Linked DNA regions of Nothobranchius furzeri. The protein of the gene in region 3 binds, or shares a complex with, the protein of the main gene of each other region. Links are inferred from orthologs where the notes say so. Each region holds a gene or a part of one and is shown on either strand. Other genes may lie near its edges. The genes, in order: polr1h, rrn3 and polr2eb.

Region 1 (7,957 bases), on a different chromosome or scaffold from region 3:
TTTCTCTCCTTCTTCCAACCATTTTAGTCTTGATCTTATGAATGTGCCTTTAGCTTTTTCCTTATAAATGTCATCTAATTCAGATTGAAAGTTTAGCTGTAATAATTTTTCATTATCAGTAAGATTCAGAGCGATTTTCAATATACATTTAATTAAAAATTCTATTCTAGCTTTTCTTTATTTAGCTAAGTCTTTGCTGAAACTAATGGCATGTTTTCTAACTTCATATGTGAACAGTTCCCAATGTTTCCCAAACTCATTTGTAGAGACTGCTTGTTCCCAATATCGTTTTAAAAGTCTGTAGTTTCTATAAAGCTACTATTATTCAATAAAGAATTATTAAATTTCCAATAGTTAAATTGTTTTGTTTTATGCTGTTGAGACAGACTACATTTAATAAATTTTTTTTTTATCTGTCATAATAGTAGGACTTATTTTCACTTCAGTGACCTGTTCATGAAGGTTATCAGAGACCAGCCACAAGTCAATTCGGGAACAGCGCGATAGATCTTTATTATTCCATGTGTATTGTTTCGCTGTTGGGTTATGATGTCGCCAAATGTCCATTAAGTTTAATCTTTTGCTAAATTTAATAAGATTGTTTTCCTCATCTCTACATTTAGAATATTTCCAGTTCTTGAGACCATACCATATTAAAATCTCCTCCCAAAATAATGTCCGTGGTGTTGAGTCTCTTCGTTTAGTTAGTTTACACTTACAATTCTGGTAGAAAAAAAAACGTATCTACAAACAGAACATCTGGCCAACATGTGGCTACATTAGGACTTATGGGAATAAGTGACATACCTTTAAAATTAGATTTCCTTTTAGCAACAGGTACGTTTTTTTAATTCCATTATACGTATCTACCCTGAGTACATGTTTAGAACTGTTCTACTCTTTTTGACTTACACGTTAAATCTATTTGCTGATAGCAGTATGTTCTGGATCATGGTCCAGTTCTACATCAGGCAGAAAACTAGAAAACCAGAACTTCAGTCTAAAGAGGAGGGTTTAGTACGTGTTTTGCTGGATGAGGACATAAAGACTTCACCTGTTTATGCTGCTCCAGGAAAATGTTTTGAATATTTTATAATTTCTCTATAACTACTAGATTTGTGTCATGTCTATGATATTTTTTCATCAGTTTGTTTATTCTATTATTTATGCTAATTAACCCAAAAGTTCAGTAGATACTTTTTTTTTAAAATAACATCTGGCAAATTTTTCAAGGACATTTGGAATGGCCTACAAGCAAGATGCCTACCGAGAGTAACGGTTTTATTTACATTTGGTCATTCCCTTATTTTTTTTTTTTTTTAGAAGTAACATAATTCCAATCTGACTCACAAATCTCAGAGCTGGATCATGGAGATGAGGGTGAGGTTTGTTTGCTTCAAGGTAAGAGCCAAAAACTGCCATCGCTCATGATGTCATGTCATAAAACTTTGGGGTAGCATCATCCTGTCTATACTTGTGTGAAAGCAAAGAGTTGGTTGGTAACACAATCTAAGGGTGGATCTGTTAGTCAGGAAGCACTGATGACTTCGAGTAAGTGTTCTGCAGGCAGGACTGGGATGATTTAAATCCAGAAATTTGTCACTGAGGCATGTGAGACATGATGGTAGAATTGATATGTTGTTAATAAAGTTGCTAAAACATTTTAATCTTCATGATAACATTTTGCAACACGACCTTCAGTCACAAAGCTTTATTCTAATGCTCCACTTTTTGTAATCTTTTTCTGGGATGTCTTGAAAACAACAAAGGAAGATGAAACAACCTTCTGTGATCCATCCACGTCTGCTGGTGAAGTTCCGTTTCCTCCCTGACACATTATATGGCAGGAATTGATGGACCATTTAATTACTGAATGTGTGATGTCTACATCATCAAAGAAAGATTAATACTTGCATTAGGGCTTATTGTTTGTCATTCTTTTACTGTGTTCAAATTATGAATTGTATTTTTGATTTTCATTAACATTTAAAAGGAGTCCACAAATAATATAATATGGAAACAATTCATTAAAATAAAACACCTATGGAAAAGTCAGACATCCGTTCAAATTTTCTACATACATGCACCAAACAAATGAATGATCATAGGTTTCAGCCTGATAAGAAAACACAGCATCACTGTCTCAGCTGGTCGGTTCCAGTTTCACTCCAATGTGAACTAAACTAAATCAGAAAATTTCAAAATTTGTGATTTTAAGAACATTTGGTTTGTGTGACATCTGTAACCACCGATGTGTAGATTATTCTAGTGGCCTTTTTTTTCTTCTTCTTTTTTTTTTTTTTTTGTAAAATAGATAAAAATAAACAGTTATGAGCAGTACTGTTTTTGACATGGGCGACCTGGGTAATGGCCCAGGATGGCATCATGAGAGGGGTGGCAAAATGGGTACGAAAAAAAAACTTATTTTGGGAGCGCAGTGCCTGAACATTATGCTGGTGTGTGTAACTTTTGGAAACATTTGTTCTGCTGCGTGCTGCAGAGGGAGGAGGACAGGTCTGCTGAAGCGGCTTGAGTGAAGCAGCATCTAAAAGTAAAGTGTGTTCGCCCAGGGCACCGAACAGGCTAGGACCACCCCTGGTCATTGTTGCCCCAAATCTCTGCACAGTAATTATGAGTTTAGTGTTGTTTATTATTTCCACGTATGCTTTACTTTGGTATTGAAATGCTTCTGGAGATGCTATATGATATTTCCACCTTATTTTATTGTTTGACACCATTTAATGGTATTTGCGAATTAATTTAATTATTCCCAAATAACATTTTGGTCATTAACTCATGTCACGTAAACAAGCGTGCGACACTAGCACGTCCTGCGTCATCAGCCTGCGACAATAACGTGATAGGACCATATACATAGCTGTGGATAGGACCCTAGGACCTCTACTGCAAACAAGTGACCGGTGAAAGAGGTTTGTAACGTTTTATACTGACTTAATAAATGATGACAGTAGCGCTGTTTTGAACTAAATGTGTAAAGAATAGCCGAATACTAATATAAACATGTAAAAGGTTTCCAAGTAGCTCCACGTGCTCAATGTGCTGCTGCTACTACTGCTAATAATAACAATAACATTCACTCGTTAGATTTCATCACACAGCCAGGAGGTCTTTTAAAGTGTTAATTTATAAAGTGCTAAGTCTTCATAACGGAAGTTACGGTGTAACTATGGTTCTGTGAGTTCCTGGATGACTGCCAGTCACAGGGGTCACTCGGAACTTCTCGGGCGAGAAGATCCCGGGAGACCCGAACGTAGCTATCGGCGCGTAATTTATAGACTCGCGACCAGGTGCGCTACGTGTCACGTGCGTGACTTTGTTTACATTAGTACTCGACCTGCGCAGAGCGCGAGGAGATACATCCACTCTGTTTACTGCCACTGGCAGTCAGGAGGGAACGAAACAGAACCCATGTGAACCGAACGGGAAACCAGTGGTTCATGGTTTTGATTGTTGTTTTCAACGTGTCTGTGTTTCTCAAGAGTCAGCAGCCCGGTTCGACGGGATGTCTTATTTTAGTGGTGACCCGAACTTCTGTCCTGAATGCGGGAACGTTCTTCCGGTACCAGTAACCTCCAACACTGTCCTGTGTCCTCGCTGCTCCTTCTGCATTCCTGTTTCAGGTAACGTGTCCCAGAGCCGTTTCTAGCTTTGTGAGGGCCTGATTCAAGAGGCTGTTTGGGAACCCGGGTGGAGGTGGTGATGATTCCTCAAAGTACCACAAGTGTAGTAAAAAGAAAAAAAAATCACTTCACAGTAAATGTATTTAACGTGATAGTGATGCACCGATATGAAATTTTTGGGCTAAAACAAATATACAATATTAATATCACCGTTATGGCCGAAAACCGATACCGATATACCGACATTAATGCTTCTAAAATCAGCAGATTTTGTGTAGGGCTTGTGATCACACGTGATTACGCATAGCATTCTGCAAACTGTGAAATAAACGGTACTGTCGCAGAGTAGAAGCAGATTTGGGTGAAAGAAAGTGTTAAATCACATAAAATCCCAACAAGGATGTGGAATATACAGGGACATGTTATATAAAGACGTCGGGGACCGGTATGTGGACAAAATCATCATTATAAATGGTTTTGATCCACATAAAAGACCCAAGACTGGAGCACTGGTGACATATTGTTGCAGCTGCAGTTCTGCATAACAGACTTTTTCGGCTATCTTGTTTAACGTCCAGATGAGAGGTAAACGTTTAATTTGTTGGTTTTTCTAGTAAAACAATCAAAATTGTCATCCCTCAGAAGAAGTGTAGCGAGAAAAGTTATGTTGTGTATCATTAGCTTACCGGTAGGTGAGTGTAGCCTCTGTGTACGTGTGTGTTTCGTGTGCATGTTGCGGTTGAGGGAAAGAAACGATGTATAAAAACGTACACCATCTGTAATTTACCAGAATGAAAATAATTTGGAAGGTGATGTTTGGTCGCCTTACAGCTGCGATCCAAGTGAGCTAACAAGACTTTATGCTAGATACTTGGTCTCTGTCGTTTTGCCACTAAACAGGAAAACTGTGGAAAGTTAGCTTGTTTTTCACCTTAATTCCACTGGCGATCACGTGTGTCACATGAATTAATAATACATAAAAAGTATCAGCTGTTGTGCTACAGCTACTATTTACCGTCTATGTGGTAGATTACTGTAAATACAGGCATGAACATGTAAGCACACAAACAAATACATATATCAGGTGCATCCTGCATGGAGTAGTGACCGTAGCGTTTAAGTGGCTGGCTGACTAATGACGTCATAATGTGTTATAAATCCCATCTACTGGTGGAATCGGTGGTCTACGGGAGTGCTCCTTCCTGCAGCGGGGGTATATCAGTTTCTGACTGAATGAGCTGCTCAGGTTGATGTGTGTTGTTCATGATGGATGTTAGCTTAGCTAGCATCCTCCTCTCGCCCACCACCGATTCCAGGGGGCATCCCAGTACAGAGCTAGTCCTCTGCACCAGTTTGCCAATTCTGTTCTGGTCCCTGTCTGTACATCCGCTTCCCCAACAGGCCACTGCATAGAAAAGGGCAGATGCAACCGACAAATCATAAAAAGTCCTTCACAGAGTTCTGCATACTCTGAAGGACCTCAGTTTCTCAGCAGGTGGAGTCAACTGCATTTGAGATGGGCAGATGAAGGACAGTCCTTGTGGTAACTCTGGGAGAGCTTAGTCTGACTGATTGTTGCCTTTCTCCTTTATTGTTTTTTCATTAAAAACAATACGCATCCAAGAAGAAGAAGAAGAAAAGATCTCTTCTATAGCGCCTCTCAAGATAAAAATCACGAGGCGCTTCACAAAAACAAAAAATGTAAAAATATAAAAAAGAATTTAGAAAATGATTAAAAATATATTTAAAATGAGCAAAAGATAGACAATTGTGATTAAAAATGTAAATAAAGAGAGAGATTGAATAGGAAAGAGGGAAATCCAACACAATTATCTTGAATTTTAGAAACACACACACTTAAAAAATACATATTTCAATCAGGGATTACAATTATTATTTTTTTTTTCAAAATTTATCGTTTTAGCTTTTTAGAACAGTTTAATTTGCTTGTTGCTGTCATAACAAAAACACCTACAAAAACTATTCACATGAATACTTTTTAAAAGGTGGGCAGCAGTGCCATAAAAAATATATCCACATTAAAACCACTGACTTGTTACTGCACCACCATGAGCTTTACACTGTTCCAAGGACTTATCCTTGCAGTGCGGTTTAATACTGGAACAAAGGCGATGAATCAGCTTTGGTTCTGAACAGAAAGGCTCTGCCTCCCAGGGGGGTACGATTGTTCGGGACCCTACTTATTTATGTTGCAGAACCCTCTTCAGATCATCGTTTACATCCAAATCTTTTTCTCTAGAGTTCTCTGGTCAGACGGTCAAGTCCTCGGTGGTCTTTAACCAGCTGACTCCGTTGTTGGTTCTGAAGGATGATCGAGACTCTGACCTAAAAGGGCCCGTGGTAAGACCAGCTCATTAGCTGAAAGCTTTGTTATGCTAAGAGTTTGGCACTGTTGATGATGCCATCTTCGCCCTGTAGGTGGACAGACGCTGCTCACGGTGCAGTAAAGATGGGATGATTTACCACACCAGGCAGATGAGATCAGCAGATGAAGGACAGACGGTCTTCTTCACTTGTATCCACTGCAGGTGGTCTCTGGCTCCGCTGTGTCTCTTGGTACTCTTGGTGATGATAGTACTTACGGTTTTTCTTTTTTTGTTTTAGATATCAAGAAAAGGAGGACTCCTGACACTCTACCGGCCCCCACTGGGTTTCTCAGAACATCTTCGTCAGCTCTCCCTCTTCTAATGATACCTGTCAGGATCAGCATTGGATTTATTTCTCTTTTTATATTAATTTGAATGATTGGCTGCTGCCAGATTCAGCTCAAATCTTGTTAAAGTAAATCTGAGCCTCTGTCATTCTGAAGGTGGTAAAGGAACCCTACAGCAAATCTGCTCCATCTGAACGGAAATGTCAAATCTCTGTGAAGGATGAGTTGGTAGAGCTTGGTTGAATGGAAGATGGATGGAATAACATTCAGACAAATCGGACAAGAGCTACATGAATCCTGTGGATTTTCAGTCCGAATGTAGATTAATAAATGAGTATGGGCCCCAATGTTGTCCGGCTTCATCGTCTGATCAATTAACTTTTTCCAATTCAATAATTTACAGCGAAATTTACCAAGTTCACAAGCATGTACACAAAATATATAAATATTTATGTAAATTTTTATTTCAGGTCATTGTGAAAGTTTGGAATGAGCTCCCGATTTTACTTCTCTCTACATCTAGGTTATCTTCCGTTCATTCGTTGTTTGTTTAGCCTGGATCGTTTTCTCGTCATTTCGAAAAGTTTGATCCAAAACAAGAACTTTTATTAAATTAGTTTGGCAGTGAATACTCTATGTTTGGTTAACTTATTGTAAGTTGTTTATCTAAGGAGTCCATAGCTCTGCTAGCATAAATCTTATGACTCTTTCCATTTATTTTTATTACACACACCTTTGAAACAAACATCCAAACCAGTGTTGAGGCTACACACATGAAAAAAAAGACCTCAACACAACATCGTATAAAAAACACATACAGGGATACACATTGCATTATTTGTTTAAACAAAAGTAATTTGTAGTGATTTGAAGTTGTATATTAATGAAAAGCGTTCTTCTGTCTCTTCTGGAATGTAAACATACTGAACCAAGCGTCCGACCTTGGCGATGTTACTGTGTGAAGGGGCAGCTGTTAAGGGCAGACCATTATAAGCTTCCTAACGCTACAAATTCAATATGGTATTAGTAGTACTACTACTATCACTGCTGCTCATGCGTATACGCTTAGCGGTCGGCTCTTGTTCGCACCGCTTATGCGTGCTCGATTCAGATACATGGTCGAGGGTTGTTGTGTTCGCCAATGTCTAAGTACTTAATCATGACACGGCTTTGTGGATTAGGGTAACTTTTCTTTTTTTTTCTTTACACTTAGACATATCAACGCTGTTCACATAGATATACCAGGGTTAACCTCTTCTGTATCAGAATTGTCTTTTGTGTTTGTAATCAAGCCTTGCGCGGTAGATCTTTCCGCGCAGGGAGACATAGATTGTTGGGTAATTTTTATATTACTCCCATATAGGGATGTAAGAAAATATCGATATGGCAATATATCGTGATATTTTTTTCCAGCAATATTATATCGATATCCAAAAGCCGTGTATCCGAAATATCGATATGGCAATATATCATGATCTTTTTTCCTGCGATTATTACATTAATATTCAAAAACCGTGTATCTAAATCTTGAAAGAATTTACATGCAAACTTTTGTGTATTTTCTTTTCGTTTTGTGCAATTCAATCGCCACCCGCTAGTTGGCAGCAGTGTGCAATGGGTTTTGTTTCCACCATTGAAATGT
Region 2 (7,957 bases), on a different chromosome or scaffold from region 3:
CTGATAGAAACCTTCTGAGACCCATGCACACATCCAAACCCACACATTTCATTTTAGTTCATCCAGACACAGGGTTGCTTTAATACCAAGTTTTAATATCAAAGCTTTTTTTAAATTGTCATTTATGAATTGCCTTTTAAATTGTCATCTTTAGAATGTTAGTAATGCATTCTTAACTTTTAAACCTGACTCTTCTTTGAAATGAAACACAGAGTGGTGTATATTTGGTTATTGAACGAGCAAAGATTCCTTTTAAATCTTCTGATTTAATAAATAAACTTTTGCTATTAATTAAATCTCTTAAATTAAATATTAATCTTTGGATTAAATATAGACCAAGCCAGTTGGTGTATGAACTTCTATCGATTATATAGATATCCGTGGATATCTATACATGATATAAGTTTAATTTGCTTATTTGTTTGATCTTTCTCAGGATCTAACAAAGCTGCATAGCAAACAGCGTTAAATCCTGGTTATGTAGAGTGTCTACGCTACACAGGAGTCTATTTAGATTTGGGATTAAATGATGACAAAGCAAAAGAGGGGCATAACGCAGCACCCGAACGCTCTGATGATGGCCATCATCTGTCAAACACGGTGCATATGGGCTACATAAGGTAACTCACTGCATGGTGGTTGGCCGGGGAGGGGGGGTGGTGGTTAGTTAGAGTTCCTCCTACGTCCATCACAGCGGTGGGTGGGGTTTGAGCGGGTGTGGTTAACCGACTTCGGGGGAGGTTTGTTACCGGAAGACAAGATGAACGGCTCTCTACGGGGTCTCGGCCTTCATCATTCACTTTGAAAATCTGTTCACATCACTAGAAAGTAGTCCTTATCCTGTATGATTTGTCTCTGAACATGGTGCTGGAACGTGTCAACAGTGAACCAACTGATTGCTGGAAAATTAGCCCTGTTGTTGCAATGCCACCTGTGAACACCAGAGTACACCAGAGTGTTCGCCAGAGTTCATGTTCCACATTCAACCTTTAAACAAATTGTTTATGGAAATGTTATCTAAACACATTCATGGATTTAAAATGTATGTTCTGAATAAAGAAGATTAATTTGATTTAATAATATACTGCCATTGACGACAAAACTCATCATTTTAAATCCAGTCACCCTTTTTATAGGGCGGGTGTGCGAATGAGCCCCTGCACCGTGACAATAAACATCACATCTCTAAAGCCCGTTTTACACAACGCACCATGCCAGCAAATCGGCGTAATATTACCGCAGCAGTGTCTCTTATTACGCGCCATATGCCGGTGTGGCATTGCGCAAAATTTGACGCCGTCACCTGATTTTCTATAAAAAGGACACGATTGCATCACATTACCGCCACGGTCTGACCACTTATAAACGTTCTAAGAGTCCCTGCTGACGCCACGGCCTTGTGGCAAATTGACGGCATTGTTTTGTAAAAACGGCTTAAAGCTGATCTTCATCTGTGTACGTCACACGTCACGTGATCAGGAAGCAGAAAACCCATGTGTTAGGAGATCGTTTAGGGCTGCTGCTGTAAAAAAGCGAGGCGTTAACTGGAAAGGCTTCTGCAGCTCACAATTTGACCAACGGATTATGAAAGAGCAGATAAAGCCAGAAACTTGCTGATTCTTCCTGATGTAAGAAGTGAGTCTATTATTTGTTTTGGTAGTTTTGGCATTTACGTGATCCAAGAACACAATGTTCTGTGACGCAGCAAAAAACTGTAAAATGCTCAAAAACACTGGCAGTCCGGGGCTTTTCTATTCAGAAAACGGCCGGCAATGAATGAGTTAAGGGGGGGGGGGGGGGGGGGGGCATGGCCCCTGGACTCTGACTAGAGCACTTCCGCCCCTGGATTCCTTGGTAGTTCTGCTGTTGTGTTTGGGTCATGGATCTGTTTGATGATCTGGTTCAGTTCAAGCTTCAGCTGGCAGACAGATTGACTCTGAGACTCGGTGGTCACTGAAGGAGTTTCTGATTAACTCGATTACTGTTTCTTTTTATTTCCGACGTTCTCAGTCCAAACAGGTACACCAAAGTTTGTCTGAAGGGATGCAGCCTGTGGATTTCATCCGTTCATTTCATCACGACGTAAAGCAGCAAAATAAAATCGGATGCATTTACCCTCTCAGGCTCAAAAATAAGTTTTGATAAAAGGACGAACAACTAAGTCCTTCAGGGGTTCTGAGTTAAAACATGCTCATGAAATACATGTGTGGGGTAACCAGGTAGGTAGGTTTTAACGTTGCACATCTGCAACGCCGACCTCTAGAGGGTTAAATCAACCCAGTCAAGCCCTGTAAAAGAGTGTAGCCAGTCCCACCCAACATGGGTATCAGGTTGTGACCTTTGAACTTAGTTGAGAGAGACCACTGGTTTTTCTCCAGGATGCAGAACAACATTGATCTGAAGTGTTTATTTTTCTTTTCACCTATTTATTTTAGCAAAAAGTAGAATACTTTTTTTTCCCCTTAAAATGTGCTTGAGGTAATATGTTTTTCTAAATGACACACTAGTCTGGTAGAGAAACAAAACAAAGTACAATAAAGATATAAAGTTTCAGAGGCACAGTAGATGTGATGATCACAGTTTGCTATGTGAAAAAATCCACAGTTTTAGTTAATTATGCTCAACACTTCAAAGAAATTGATGAACTGTGAAAAAAATAATTCTCAGGTGCTTAAATTTAACATTTGTTTTCCCTGATGAACACATTATATATTTTGAATTAGCAATCTTGTAGCACACAGGTGGTAAATTCTTACAGAAACTATATTTAGCTAATATTACATTCAGGGTGAAACACAGTTATTTATCGTAAAATAATGCTTTTCTGTTTACTGTAAAAAAAAAAAAAAAAAGTGGGTCTCGCGCACCGCGGGAAGAGTTTTAATGTGACACCTCATCACTCTGTTCCGGAAACACGTGATTTCTTCCGCCTGCGCTCACAGCAGCTTGCCTTTGCTTTTCACTAGTGTTTTGGGGTCTTGTATTGATATTGTTCCCCGTCTTTATTCCGGTGAAATGAGAGAATACGTTAACGTATACGTTTAGTTTGATGATAGCCACGTTAGCTCGTGGAAACCAGCGCGTGGCCGGAACCATGGATGCAGACGGTAGGGACTTCCTCAACTCTCCTCCGGCCAAGACGGTCCGGTTTGGGGGGTGCGTAGCGGAGACTCTGGAGAAAGCCAGACACGTGAGTGCTGTAGCTGGTCCAGTCCAGGGCATGGTAAAGACAACAGCTAGACTTCTCTGGCTTAACATGATCTCGGCCAAGTTTAAACTGATAGATGTTAAAGATAAAAAAGCAACATGTTTAATTGGGACCCAAGGTGCCTCGAGGGTTAAAAGACGAGGAATGAGTTTTAACTTTAAACCAAAAACATGAATGTTTCAAATACAGGTGGAAGGTGAAATATCCTGGGTGGTTGTGCTGTGGCAGAATCATTTTACTTTAGTTTGATACGATTGTTAGCAGCAGGAGCAGCTCCTTTCACCTTCCTCTAAGAGCCCTGTGTCCTGATGAGGCGCTTGTCTGTTTTTGAAGGGGGACACAAATGACTACGAGCTGCTGAAGCATCAGCTGGTGGATCCTGAAATCAAGGTAAAACCTCTGAGGCTGATCTTGGGTCGGTGTGAAGGTGCGAATAATGGTCATGTCTCTCTGGACAGGATGCTCAGCTCATCAGCTGGCTGCAGGAGTTTCGGAGCTGTGTGACTCAGTTGACAAAGGACCATGAGCAGCTGGTTTACACGATTCTGGTGAGAGGACAGCTTCACTGATGAGGAGAGCTCAAACCTTCATTTGATCAGATTAGATGGTTCATTTCCCTTAGATTATCTGATTGAAAACAGAACTTAGTTCAGTGATTTCTGTAATTATAGGGAACAATTGTTAGCTGTTTGCAATGTCAGCTGGCTCCTATTCATGAGGAGGAGGAGGTGGATCTAGTCCTTCCTCCTAAGCCGGGCGTACACTGTGTGACTTTTTCACTCGTAGCACTCAGCTTCAGCTCACACTGTACGACTTCCTCGCAGGGCAGATCTCACGAGTCAGGTGCTCACACTGCACGACCCAGTTCTCGCATGCGACCTGACTGCTCACACTGTACGTCTGGTAGCAACATGTCGGACCTAAAAATGTGCTAAAAATAGCAGTTTTTACTCAACACGTCAGACTTTTTTGTTTTGTTTTGCCTGTTGTCCTTCGGGAGTGCTGCAGGAGGACACACAGGGATTTATGGGGGTTGGATGAGGAAAACAAAATAAAGAAAGTAAATCTGTGTTTTGTGATCAGTTTAATTTGACATGAACACGACAAACACGCTTTCTTGACAATCTTTGTGAGTAAAAAACGTGTAGAAACAAAAATGAGCAGCGTGTGTTATTAGGGAAATAGCGGACGAGCAGTGTTGATGCAGGATTGCGCCGTGAGCGGTTCTGATACTTTTTGGGTCGCAGCCGCTCGCAGCGCCGCTTCAACAGTGCGATACCCTCACGAGGAACGAGCGAAATATTAAACACGCCAGAAGTTTGTGCGACCTCACGATTGCTGATCGGTAGCTGGTCACGTGGTGTTACTCGCCTCTCGTAACCCCTGTACACTACACGACGCTCAGCGCACACTGTGCGACTTTTTCACTTTTTTGAGCCGATTTTCCAGTCGTGCGAGAATCCACAAGATCGGGGCGAGTTTTGCGCCGAGCGGTCGTGTAGTGTACAGGGGGTTACGAGAGGCGAGTAACACCACGTGACCAGCCGCCGATCAGCAGTCGTGAGGTCGCAGGGACTTCTGGCGTGTTTAATATTTCGCTCGTCCCTCGTGAGGGTATCGCACTGTTGAAGCGGCGCTGCGAGCAGCTGCGACCCAAAAAGTATCAGAACCGCTCACGGCGCATGCGCGCGCAATCCTGCATCAACGCCGGCCGGTCGCTCGCTATTTCCCTAATAACACGCTGCTCATTTTTGTTTCTACACGTTTTTTTACTCACAAAGATTGTCAAGAAAGCGTGTTTGTCGTGTTCATGTCAAATTAAACTGATCACAAAACACAGATTTACTTTCTTTATTTCGTTTTCCTCATCCAACCCCCATAAATCCCTGTGTGTCCTCCTGCAGCACTACCGAAGGACAACAGGCAAAACAAGACAAAAAAGTCTGACGTGTTGAGTAAAAACTGCTATTTTTAGCACATTTTTAGGGCCGACGTGTTGCTACCAGACGTACAGTGTGAGCAGTCAGGTCGCATGCGAGAACTGGGTCGTGCAGTGTGAGCACACGACTGTGAGATCTGCTCTGTGAGGAAGTCGTACAGTTTGAGCTGAAGCTGAACGCTGCGAGTGAAAAAGTCGCACAGTGTACGCCCGGCTTTAAGGCTGCAGAGGAAAGTCAGCTCAGCTACTTGTGTTCAAGGACCCCCCCCCCCCCCCCCCCCCCACACACAGGGGCTCTCCTTGGGGTCAGCAGCCCCCGGGGGGCTGGGAAACCCACACACTGGTTGCGTTGGTACAGCTAACGGTGTTTCTGAAGAGCACCCAACTTTTTGACCATTTTACATCAAAGATTTGCAGGTTCATTGTTTTTAAATCGCACACAAACAAAAAATGGCCTTTCATAGAAGTAAAGTAGATTTGTAAAGGATTAGCTAACAATATAAAACAGCCGAGTAGCCACGTGCCCCTCAGATGTCCAAATGCTGTAGGCCCTTCTAGATCTACACAGATCAACAGTTATGTCATAAAGTTTTTAGTTTTTGTTATATTTAGATTTTTTTTTAAAAGGTTAATGCTGCAATGAGACTGTAGTCACCCGGTAAAGGGTCATTTTAGCATCCTCTGGCTCCAGGGCTAGGGTTAAAGGGGACCTTTAGTTCACACATTTCCTGCTCATAAGGTCAGCTGGCTCCGAGGCTCTGCACTGCAGACCAGGGCTGCATCACCTGGGAGGCTGATGGTTGCGTGTCAGAGCTGTGGGAGTGGGCTCCTAGGACTTCACTTGGTAAAAATATTGCCAATCGTTTTTTTTTTTAAATTTTCTCTCATCTGCGCTGCGTCCACGGTGTTTACCTGACTAGCACAAACGAAAACACGCACTGGATCGGCTGTGGTCCAGCCAATCAGAGTAGAGTGTCTGATGGTGCTGTAGAAATGTGTGGTCATTATTTTGGCGTGGCGTTCGTGTCGCTCTTCCAGAGGGTTCCGTGGGCCGACCGCTGTCAGGCTGTGGTGGATGAGTACTTGGCCTTCCTGGGTAACCTGGTGTCCGCTCAGACCGTCTTCCTGTGTGCCTGCCTGAAGATGGCGGTCTCCCTCTTCACTCCCAGTAGGTTCCTCTGAGTCAGACTCGGGCCTTTCGTCACGTTTGAAAGTTGGGCTGCACGCGGAGAACGAAGGAGGTGTTGTTTGATTTCAGAGAGAGTGACCATTCACGAGGGTGGAGTGGACATCTCTGATTCGGATGATGAAGATGAGGGTGAGTTCTTGAATTTTTCACTTATTTTACATCATAACACATGAAGCTGAATTAGGACTACTGGTAAAGTAGCAGCAGCAGTGCTACTGAACAGGTGAGAGAGCTCAGGTAGACTCCACAACAAACATCTTGAAACAGAAATGACGTTTGTAACTAAATATTACTGAACGCATTCTTCTGCTTTTAAGACCTCCCCAGAAGCTTCGACCGGAGTCACCAGGCGCTGCAGCTCATCGTCAGATATGTGCCCTCGTAAGTTGCTCCACTCTGTTTCCCCTCGTCTTGTCTTCCTGCTCCACTAGGTGGCGTGAGTGAGTCCCTCTGCTGACGGACTTTCACTGGCTAGGTAGATATTACCATGCAGTCTTCCCAGGTGTGAGGTGAGCGGGTATAAATAAGGACGACAATGGAAAACAAACGGAACGGCATTCCCGCACCTGCATAGCTAAAAGGTCTCCAAAGCACTTCTACTGCAGTCATCCACCCTGGTGGTGATGAGCTACGTCGTAGCCACAGCTGCCCTGTGACAGGCTCCAGCAGGGAGAAGGGTGCCCAAGGACAGACTGTCACAGACCAAGTCTGGTTTTGAACCTGCAACCCAGCGGTTACAGGAAGACTTTCCACCCTGAGCCACCGTCACCCTAAGCTAATGACTGTTTAGTGATGTAACCCTGATGTTTATGATGTAGTAGAAGGGTAGTTCTGGTAAACCACGGTGTGCAGATGAAGTCGGTGTTGCTTCTGAGACGAGTCCCTTTGGTTTCGTTAAAGGACGAGCCGCTTTCTTGTCCCCATCCTACAAGACAACTTCCCCTTCGTACAGAAGTCCTCCAGGACTCTGGTGAGTCTTTGTGTTTCGTGTCGTGGGTGTGCGACGTGAAAACCTCGCGGTGCTTAACCACAGGTGCGTTGACTCTTTGCTGGTAGGAGTGCTACGTTCACAACCTCCTGCGGGTGACGGTGTACCTGCCGTCCATCCGTAGAGACGTGCTGGAGCTGGTTGTAGGAAAGCTGCTCAAACTGGACGTAAGTGCTGATCGGTTGTTGTTGTTTTCTGATGATGATGATGATGATGACTTTGACGAAGGCTAAGTAGGCGGGACTTTTTGTTTTGGTTTCAGGTGAGTACATCTCGAGCAGAGATGGAGGATGCGGAGGAGCACGCTCAGAAGGAGGAGGTTCAGGAGCAGCTGGAGGAGGGACTCTTTGACATGGTGGGAGCAGCAACAATGGCTCTGAGGTCATCAGTAAAATCTGTTGCTTACAACTAAGCTCGGGCTTTTTGGCAAATTCATCGACCGTCGGCGAAGGGCCGAGACGTTGGCCGACATAGATTGTAATTTTGGGGGCGATATTTTTTGTTGTGCCTATGATTTAGTCCCACAGGTCACATCAGCGCCTTTAGTGCAACAATCTGTTCATGTGATACCGCCGGTGTGTGTGAAAGCGCGTGTTTTAATGTTGTCTGGCGGAAAACGTTAAATCGCCTCTA
Region 3 (7,151 bases):
ACAGAGAAGCGTGTTTGATTTGAAGAAAATTGTTATGAATTCATCTTTTTTTTGTCCATTTTTGTCCCACCAGAGGAACCCAAGGTGGGGATCAAGACCATTAAAATGTACTGTCAGAGAATGCAGGAGGAGAATATCACTCGAGCCATCATCGTTGTTCAGATGGGCATGACGCCTTCAGCAAAACAGGTATGTTTATGTTCATGTATTTAGCAGACGCTTTTGTCCAAAAGACCTACAAGTAATAATGAAGCCAGCAGGTTGCCCTTGAGGCTTACAACAAACACTAATCAGTCAATCCTAGGTGGCAGTGAGGCAGCATAATGAATCGTAAAGGGAAGTGAATAAGGAGTGGACAGTAGAGTGGGGGACGGGTGCAGGGAGGGTGCTAGCTTAGAAGATGCTCTCTGACGAGCTGGGTCTTCAGGAGTTTCTTGAAAATGGACAAGGTCAAAGAGATCTCGCAGTACAGGCAGGAAGACCAGTTAGAAGGGCATTGCAGTAGTTGAGGTTGGAGATGACTGTAGATTGAACCAGGAGCTGGGTGGCATATTTTGTTAGATATGGTCTGATCTTTTATATGTTATACAGCATGAAGCGGCATGAACGAGTGACAGAGGCAACTTGATCTTTAACTCATTTCCTGCCATTGATGACTAAAGTCATCATTTGTATTTTTTTTTTTACTGTGTGGGTGTCGGAACGAGCTCCCGTACCGTGAGAACAAACATCCCAGCTCTAAAGCTGATCTTTATCCATGTACATCACACGTCACATGATCAGGAAGCAAAAAATCCATGTGTTAGGAGATCGTTTTGGGCTGCTGCTGTAAAAAAAAAAGTGAGGCACGATCCAGAAAAGCTTCTGCCGATCACAATTCGACAACGGATTATGAAAAAATGGATAACACTCTAAACACGCAGATTATTCCAGATGTAAGAGGTGAGTCTACTCTTTGTTTTGGTAGTTTGGGCGTTGACATCATCATAGAGTGCAACGTTCGGTGACTTTTCAAAAAACTGTGAAAACGCTGAAAACCTCTGGCAGCGAAGGGCTTTACTGATCAGGAAACGACCGGAAGGTAATGAGTTAAAGGTCAGCTGGTCATAAATCACAACACCCAAATTTCAAATTGTGTGTGAAGGAGCCAGAGATAGGGGCTCGTTTTGCATTGAGATATTGTGTCGTATGGATGGGTTTGCTGGGATGTCAAGTAATTCAGTTTTTGAGAGGTTGAGTTGGGGATGGTGAGATTTCATCCATCTTGATATATCAGAAAGACAGTCCAAGATTTGTACAGAGACTGTGAGGTCGTCCGGACGAGAATGACAGATAGAGCTGGGTGTCGTCAGCATAGCAGTGGTAGGAGAGGCCATGCGATCGAATGATCTCACCCAATGTGGTGGTGTATGTGGCAAAGAGAAGAGGTCCTAGTAAAGAGCCCTGGGGGACTCCTGTGGCAAGATGGTAAACAGCAGAAGATTGTCCGAGTCAGGTAAGATTCAAACCAGGAGTGTGCTTTCCCTGTGATGCCCATGCTAGAGAGTATGGACAAAAAGAAGCCACGGTTGACTGTGTCAAATTCAGATAAGTCAAGCAGGATAAGCACTGAGGATTTGGGCAGTCGCTCTAGCTTATTTTAAGGCTTCAGTGGAGTGGCCATTTTTGAACCCAGATTTGTATGGGTCAAGCAGATAGTTTTGTGAGAGGTGCTCTGCAACCTGCTTGAAGGCCGCCTTTTCGATGATTTTAGACAGGAACGGGAGGAGAGAGATAGGTCGGTAGTTCTCCACACGATTTGGAGGAAGGGAGTTGGTTTCTGAGTGTCAGAAGTGCTGAGAATTTTGTCAGTGTAGAAAGCTTTCTTTGCATTAGTGATGCTGGCAGAGAATGAACTTTGTACCGTTTTTAGATCAAATGATAACATTAAGGACAGGAAACCTGATGAAATGGGGTTGTCCAGATGAATATTCATGTCTCCAAGGACCATTGTGGGACAGTCATGCTCAGGAATGGAGGAGAGCAGGGTGTCAAGTTCATCTAGAAAGTCTCCGTGTTGTCCTGGTTGTCGATATATAACAACCATAAAGAATAATTTTCGGTGCAGTTACCCAGATGGCATGGTATTCAAAGGAGATGTACTTAGTTATGGGTAGCAACTGACTGTATTTCCATTTGTTGGAACTTAACATGCCTGTTCCACCACCTCGGCCAGATGCATGAGAAGTGTGGTTGATTGAGAGTGCAGCTGGGTTCATCGTCACCAGGTTTGATCCAGGTCTCAGTGAGAGCCAGGGCATCAAGTGACAGGTGACTGGCATATGCAGTAATGAAGTCTGCTTTGTTTACTGCTGATTGGCTGTTCCACAGTCCCATAGACAGGCAAGTGGTGCTCGCTGCAGAGCCACAAATGTGGAGCTGCACCAGAGTCAGCCCCGCCCATTCCATCAGAGTCAGTCCAATTCCTTCCAGTTGTCAGACTTAATAGCATCCTGGAACCAAAGAGGGTGATATAGCTAATATCATCTAAAATGCAGGATTGAGGACTGAGTTGAGAGGTTAACTGAACCGTTTTTGTAAAGGTTTCCATATAATTAAAAATCTAACTTTTGGAACTTTTTATTATGTTATATTATCATTTCCTCATAAGAAACACGCCAAAGCCATTTTTGGCCTCATTCACACATTTTCCTCCCATCTCAGCTTCAATTTGGTCCTCTCCTCCGAAGCGGGTCTGGTCTTGGTTCTCAAATCTGGATATTCTGTGAATTTTCTGACAAATTATCTCTGAAATGACTTCTACTGAGACACCGCTGAAAAACCATACATCCCATCTACAAAAACACACTGGATGGGACAATTACATGTGATGCCACTAGCTTGTTATCAGATGTAGTGGTGAACTGGTTGTGCAGTCAGCTTGTCATGTAATTTTGCGCAGGTTCACCTCCCGGTAACGGCGCAAACTTTTTTCTTCTTTTCTAGCTACACTTGCCAGTACTATGTTTTTAACCATTTATTGGTATACCGTTTACAATATAATGACTAATGTGTTTGTTTTTCTATTTATTCGTTATTTAGCCAGTGTGAGTCCATTTGTGAGCAGAGCTCCAACTAAAATGCTGTTTAGGAACGACCAAATTCAAAGAACTTTTAGAGATATAAATATTTTGCAGAAAATAAACATTACAACTAAAATATAAACAAATTAAATGTTTCAGCTGGATAAATAGATAGCTGCCGACCCCACCGAGAGTTGAACCTACATCAGCTGAGGGGAAAGCAAAACTTAGGTGTGACGATGTTGCCACTAGATTACCAGGGCTCACCAAACAATTGTCCTTAAATGCTTTTGTAGCCCGGTTCTGTTGGAGCGGCTATGGACAGATATTCGCTAAAAGAAACCTTTTCATTTCGGGATATATTCAGGCTTTGTCACGTAGCAAGTTATATTTATCTTGTTTAATTGGAGCATAGAACGTAGCATTAACATTTGTAAACTAGTAACAGCCGTAATTCATGTGGGTTAGGTTAGTTTGCTACAAAATAAAAAAATAAAAAACAGAAGAAGTCAGTGGGCTAGGCTGTTTGCGTGAGTGGGCGGGGCTGACTCTGGTGCAGCTCCGCCTTTGTGGTTCTGCAGCGAGCACCCTTTCTAGTCAGGTGAGTGTCACCGAGGAGAGCTTGTTATAGGCCCAAGGTAAACACCATTATTATGGAGAAAGAAAAAAGATCATGTAATTTTATCAGTAAAATTGTCTTTATTTGGCTTTCACTGTCCTGTCTAATAAGTTGAAACTGAATTTCCTGACAGTCTTTGGTGGACATGGCACCGAAGTACATACTGGAGCAGTTTCTACAACAGGAGCTGCTTATTAATATCACCGAGCACGAGGTAAAAAGCATATCATGTTCTTTTTTTTGTGTACATACTGAGAATAGTGGGTTTCAGTTTTGTGTCTGAACTTTCAGCTTGTACCTGAGCACATCGTCATGACGAAGGAGGAAGTGACCGAGCTTCTAGCAAGATAGTATCCTTACTGATTTCCTCTTTTTACTATGCTGCAGGTTTTGTGTTGACGCTTGAGGGCTTTTATTTCACATACCTTTGTTTTCTTTAACATGATTACTTCAGTAAACTAAAAGAAAGTCAGTTACCGAGGATTCAGGCTGGAGACCCTGTGGCGCGCTACTTTGGCTTGAAAAGAGGACAGGTAAAGCACCGAGTACTTCCTGTTCACATGTAAGAGTTGTACAGGACCTGTGACCAGTTTTCATTATTACATGTCACATCATGAGTTCTCTAACATCACTTGTATATTATTTGCCACTCATTTACATTTTACACAAACTGCTGGGTTGTCATGGGCACAGTTATTGTCCAAATGCAAACACAAATAGTTTTGAGTTTTCCAACTGTGACCGTGCTTTCATGCAGCCAATAGCCCGGTTCCACACGGCCATGTAAACACCGGCAAAAACCCAGTTGTGCTCATAACCGGGTATTTACAAACCGGGTAATTAACCCTGGAGGTAACCCTTTTCTAACCCAAGTATCAGGTCATGTAAACTCGTATCGGGATAACCCTTTCATAAGGTGCGCATGTTCTATTCACAAGGAATCTTGGTCGTTTGAGTAGATCTGGGGTCGGCAACCTTTTCCCATCAAAGAGCCGTTATTACCCGTTTCCCACAGTAAAGAAAACACTGGGAGCCACAGCCGTGGCGTTGTGTGTGGGCCTACCGGCCCTGCGCAGGTGCCGCTTTTTGACGCGTCTCCTTTTAAAACATGTTTACACTGTTCAGACAACAAATCCAGGCTCTGTCTCGTTGGATTGTCATTAAACTTTCTACAGAACGAAACTTTACATTAAACAATGTGGAAAGGGTAAGAAAAGGATTCAATCAACTTGTTTTTCTCCTTTATTTACAGTGATGGAGGTAACGGCGCAGTGCGCATGGCACTGGTGTTAATCGAGTTTAATTTTTCTCTTTGCGACAATCTTCACAAGAAGGCAAAACAGCTAAACGGCAGGGTTCACTGACCAGCTATTTCCCGTGTTTGACCGTTTATTTGGACAGAGAAACCTCAAGGCTGCAGAAGCGCTGACATTTTAATCGTTACACACATCGCAGAGGCAGCTACACCAATCAGGAAAAGATTCCCATCAGAACATCTGAGCATTAAACTGGACACTGTGCTCAGGGCAGCTCGTTGACAGCGTGCACGTAAGGTGGACGAGCTGAAGATGTGGAGAGGGGCTTGAGCGCCTCGTGCACCGGCAGCAGCAGAAGTAAACCGGAAGTGAACACGTAGAGGTCAACATGGCGAGACGCAGCTCGCCTTATAAGCACAATAGCTACGTAACTAAGATCAATTGTAATAATAAATACAGGTAGTAATGTGAGTTATTAGTACCACAAATGCTACCTAATATGCACTGTACCTGATAAAAAAAAACAAATTAACATCAAATGATGTCAAATCAGGTGTCATTTGCTGTTTTGCAGTTTCTTGTGGTTGGATTATGCACATGGTGTTTATTTAGGAAGAAAAACAGCAAATGACTCAAATTGCGTCTTAACGTAGCCCGTACGTCCTGGTCCTGACGCTATGTAATCAGGATATTGGAAGTTCCATGTATACAGGGGTAACACTCTACTTGTGCATGTAAACGGGTTATTCCAAATGTTAAAGTTAATGTTTCTGGAACCCGAATATTGGCTCCATGTAAAGGTAGTCGGTGTCTCACAAGCTGCGTTTTCCCAGGTGGTGAAGATCATTAGACCCAGTGAAACCGCTGGAAGGTACATCACCTACAGGCTGGTGCAGTGACCCAAAGGTAAGTGTGGACAGAACCGCAAATAGAGCATGGATTAAGGATTTGTAGAGAATTACATTCTGGGCATAGAGGGCCGGTACCAGCACTTTTTAGTGGTTTCTCTGCTCAAACACTAGATTCAGTGGTTGAATCACCTGTGCAGCAGCTCAGTGTTAATTACCTGCTGATTGAAATCAGGTGTGTTGAAACAGTAAAAACTGAGGCCCTGTCCACACGTAGCCGGGGATCTGCCAAAACGTAGATATTTTTCTACGTTTTGGCCTGTCATCCACATGAAAACTGAGTTTTTTCACACGAAAACGGATCTTTTTAAAAACTCCGGCCAAAGTGAAGATCTGCGTTTTCTCCGTTTTGGGTGTCTGCGTGTGGACGGACAAAACCGGAGTTTTAAGGTCTGCAACGTCACTTTCCGTGACAAAAAACTGCTGACATCACGTGTGCGACCTGTGTTTACACTAGCCGACAGCATGGATGCTCTCAGAGCTGCGCTCGCTTTATCAATTGTCCAAGCGCTTTTTGCTCGTTTGTTTTTGCAAGCGGAATTACTGCTCCTTGCGGAAGACCACAGACGAAGGACGAGGTTAAGAACGGGGGAAGTACTGCCGCCTACAGGTCTGGCATGTCCTTAACAACGTATTTATCCGGGTACGTGTGGACAGAGTTTTGTTTTAAAACGAGGTGGTGTGGATGCAAGTTTTTGGAGGGGCGGATGTTCGTTTAAAAAAAAAAAACCCGGCTACGTGTGGACTAGGCCTAAGACGTGCTGGATACCGGACCTTTAAGAAAGTAATTGTATACCCATTTGTGTTTTTCAGTGCGTCCCAGTGCAGCTGTGGCTACATCGTAGCTCATCACCATCAGTGTGTGAATGTGTGTGTATGGATGAATGATACACTTTAGTGTAAAGCGCTTTGGAGTCCTTACTCTGAGAGGCACTATACAAGTGTGCGTCATTCATCATAGTAAACACGTAAGACTTGATGATTCTGAAAATTGTTTTCTTTTCAAGTTCTTCCGGATTGAAGTTGAGGATCAGCGGCATCTCACTCATCTGTGGATCGTTAGTCTGCTGAACTCCAATTTTTCCTGTAATTACTGAATTTTGTAAAAAATAAATAAAAGCATCTTTTGTACTTGAATTGTGGCACAACTCAAAGGTTTCAGCCTACAGTGTGTACAAGTGAAAAGTACCTTCCTTCTTTTAGGTTATTCTGTAGCTGCGGCAGGATCTGGAGCCTGATGAACTTTTGTTTAGACCCGTATCGAATACTTCGTCATGCCCGCCCCAAAGTAGTTTATTCAAAACAC

The links.
Region 1: polr2eb (region 3) and polr1h share a complex: the UniProt entries of both Homo sapiens proteins name them as parts of the pol I pre-initiation complex. The link is inferred for Nothobranchius furzeri from reciprocal best matches to the Homo sapiens genes POLR2E and POLR1H.
Region 2: polr2eb (region 3) and rrn3 share a complex: the UniProt entries of both Homo sapiens proteins name them as parts of the pol I pre-initiation complex. The link is inferred for Nothobranchius furzeri from reciprocal best matches to the Homo sapiens genes POLR2E and RRN3.

What each region holds. Positions count from the first base shown.
Region 1 is NC_091751.1:25,534,127-25,542,083, forward strand, and holds polr1h (DNA-directed RNA polymerase I subunit RPA12), read left to right. Parts: upstream 1-2,826; 5' UTR 2,827-2,930; intron 2,931-3,500; 5' UTR 3,501-3,523; coding exon 3,524-3,641; intron 3,642-5,901; coding exon 5,902-6,002; intron 6,003-6,080; coding exon 6,081-6,190; intron 6,191-6,266; coding exon 6,267-6,291; 3' UTR 6,292-6,662; downstream 6,663-7,957. UniProt on the Homo sapiens protein: Core component of RNA polymerase I (Pol I), a DNA-dependent RNA polymerase which synthesizes ribosomal RNA precursors using the four ribonucleoside triphosphates as substrates. Can mediate Pol I proofreading of the nascent RNA transcript.
Region 2 is NC_091758.1:12,120,212-12,128,168, reverse strand, and holds the start of rrn3 (RNA polymerase I-specific transcription initiation factor RRN3), read left to right. Parts: upstream 1-2,914; 5' UTR 2,915-3,049; coding exon 3,050-3,190; intron 3,191-3,541; coding exon 3,542-3,598; intron 3,599-3,666; coding exon 3,667-3,756; intron 3,757-6,185; coding exon 6,186-6,315; intron 6,316-6,405; coding exon 6,406-6,465; intron 6,466-6,653; coding exon 6,654-6,717; intron 6,718-7,236; coding exon 7,237-7,306; intron 7,307-7,392; coding exon 7,393-7,491; intron 7,492-7,586; coding exon 7,587-7,679; intron 7,680-7,957. UniProt on the Homo sapiens protein: Required for efficient transcription initiation by RNA polymerase I (Pol I). Required for the formation of the competent pre-initiation complex (PIC).
Region 3 is NC_091748.1:48,496,603-48,503,753, forward strand, and holds the end of polr2eb (DNA-directed RNA polymerases I, II, and III subunit RPABC1), read left to right. Parts: intron 1-73; coding exon 74-189; intron 190-3,814; coding exon 3,815-3,895; intron 3,896-3,972; coding exon 3,973-4,031; intron 4,032-4,135; coding exon 4,136-4,214; intron 4,215-5,770; coding exon 5,771-5,836; 3' UTR 5,837-5,843; intron 5,844-6,658; exon of another isoform or gene 6,659-6,852; 3' UTR 6,853-6,982; downstream 6,983-7,151. UniProt on the Homo sapiens protein: DNA-dependent RNA polymerase catalyzes the transcription of DNA into RNA using the four ribonucleoside triphosphates as substrates.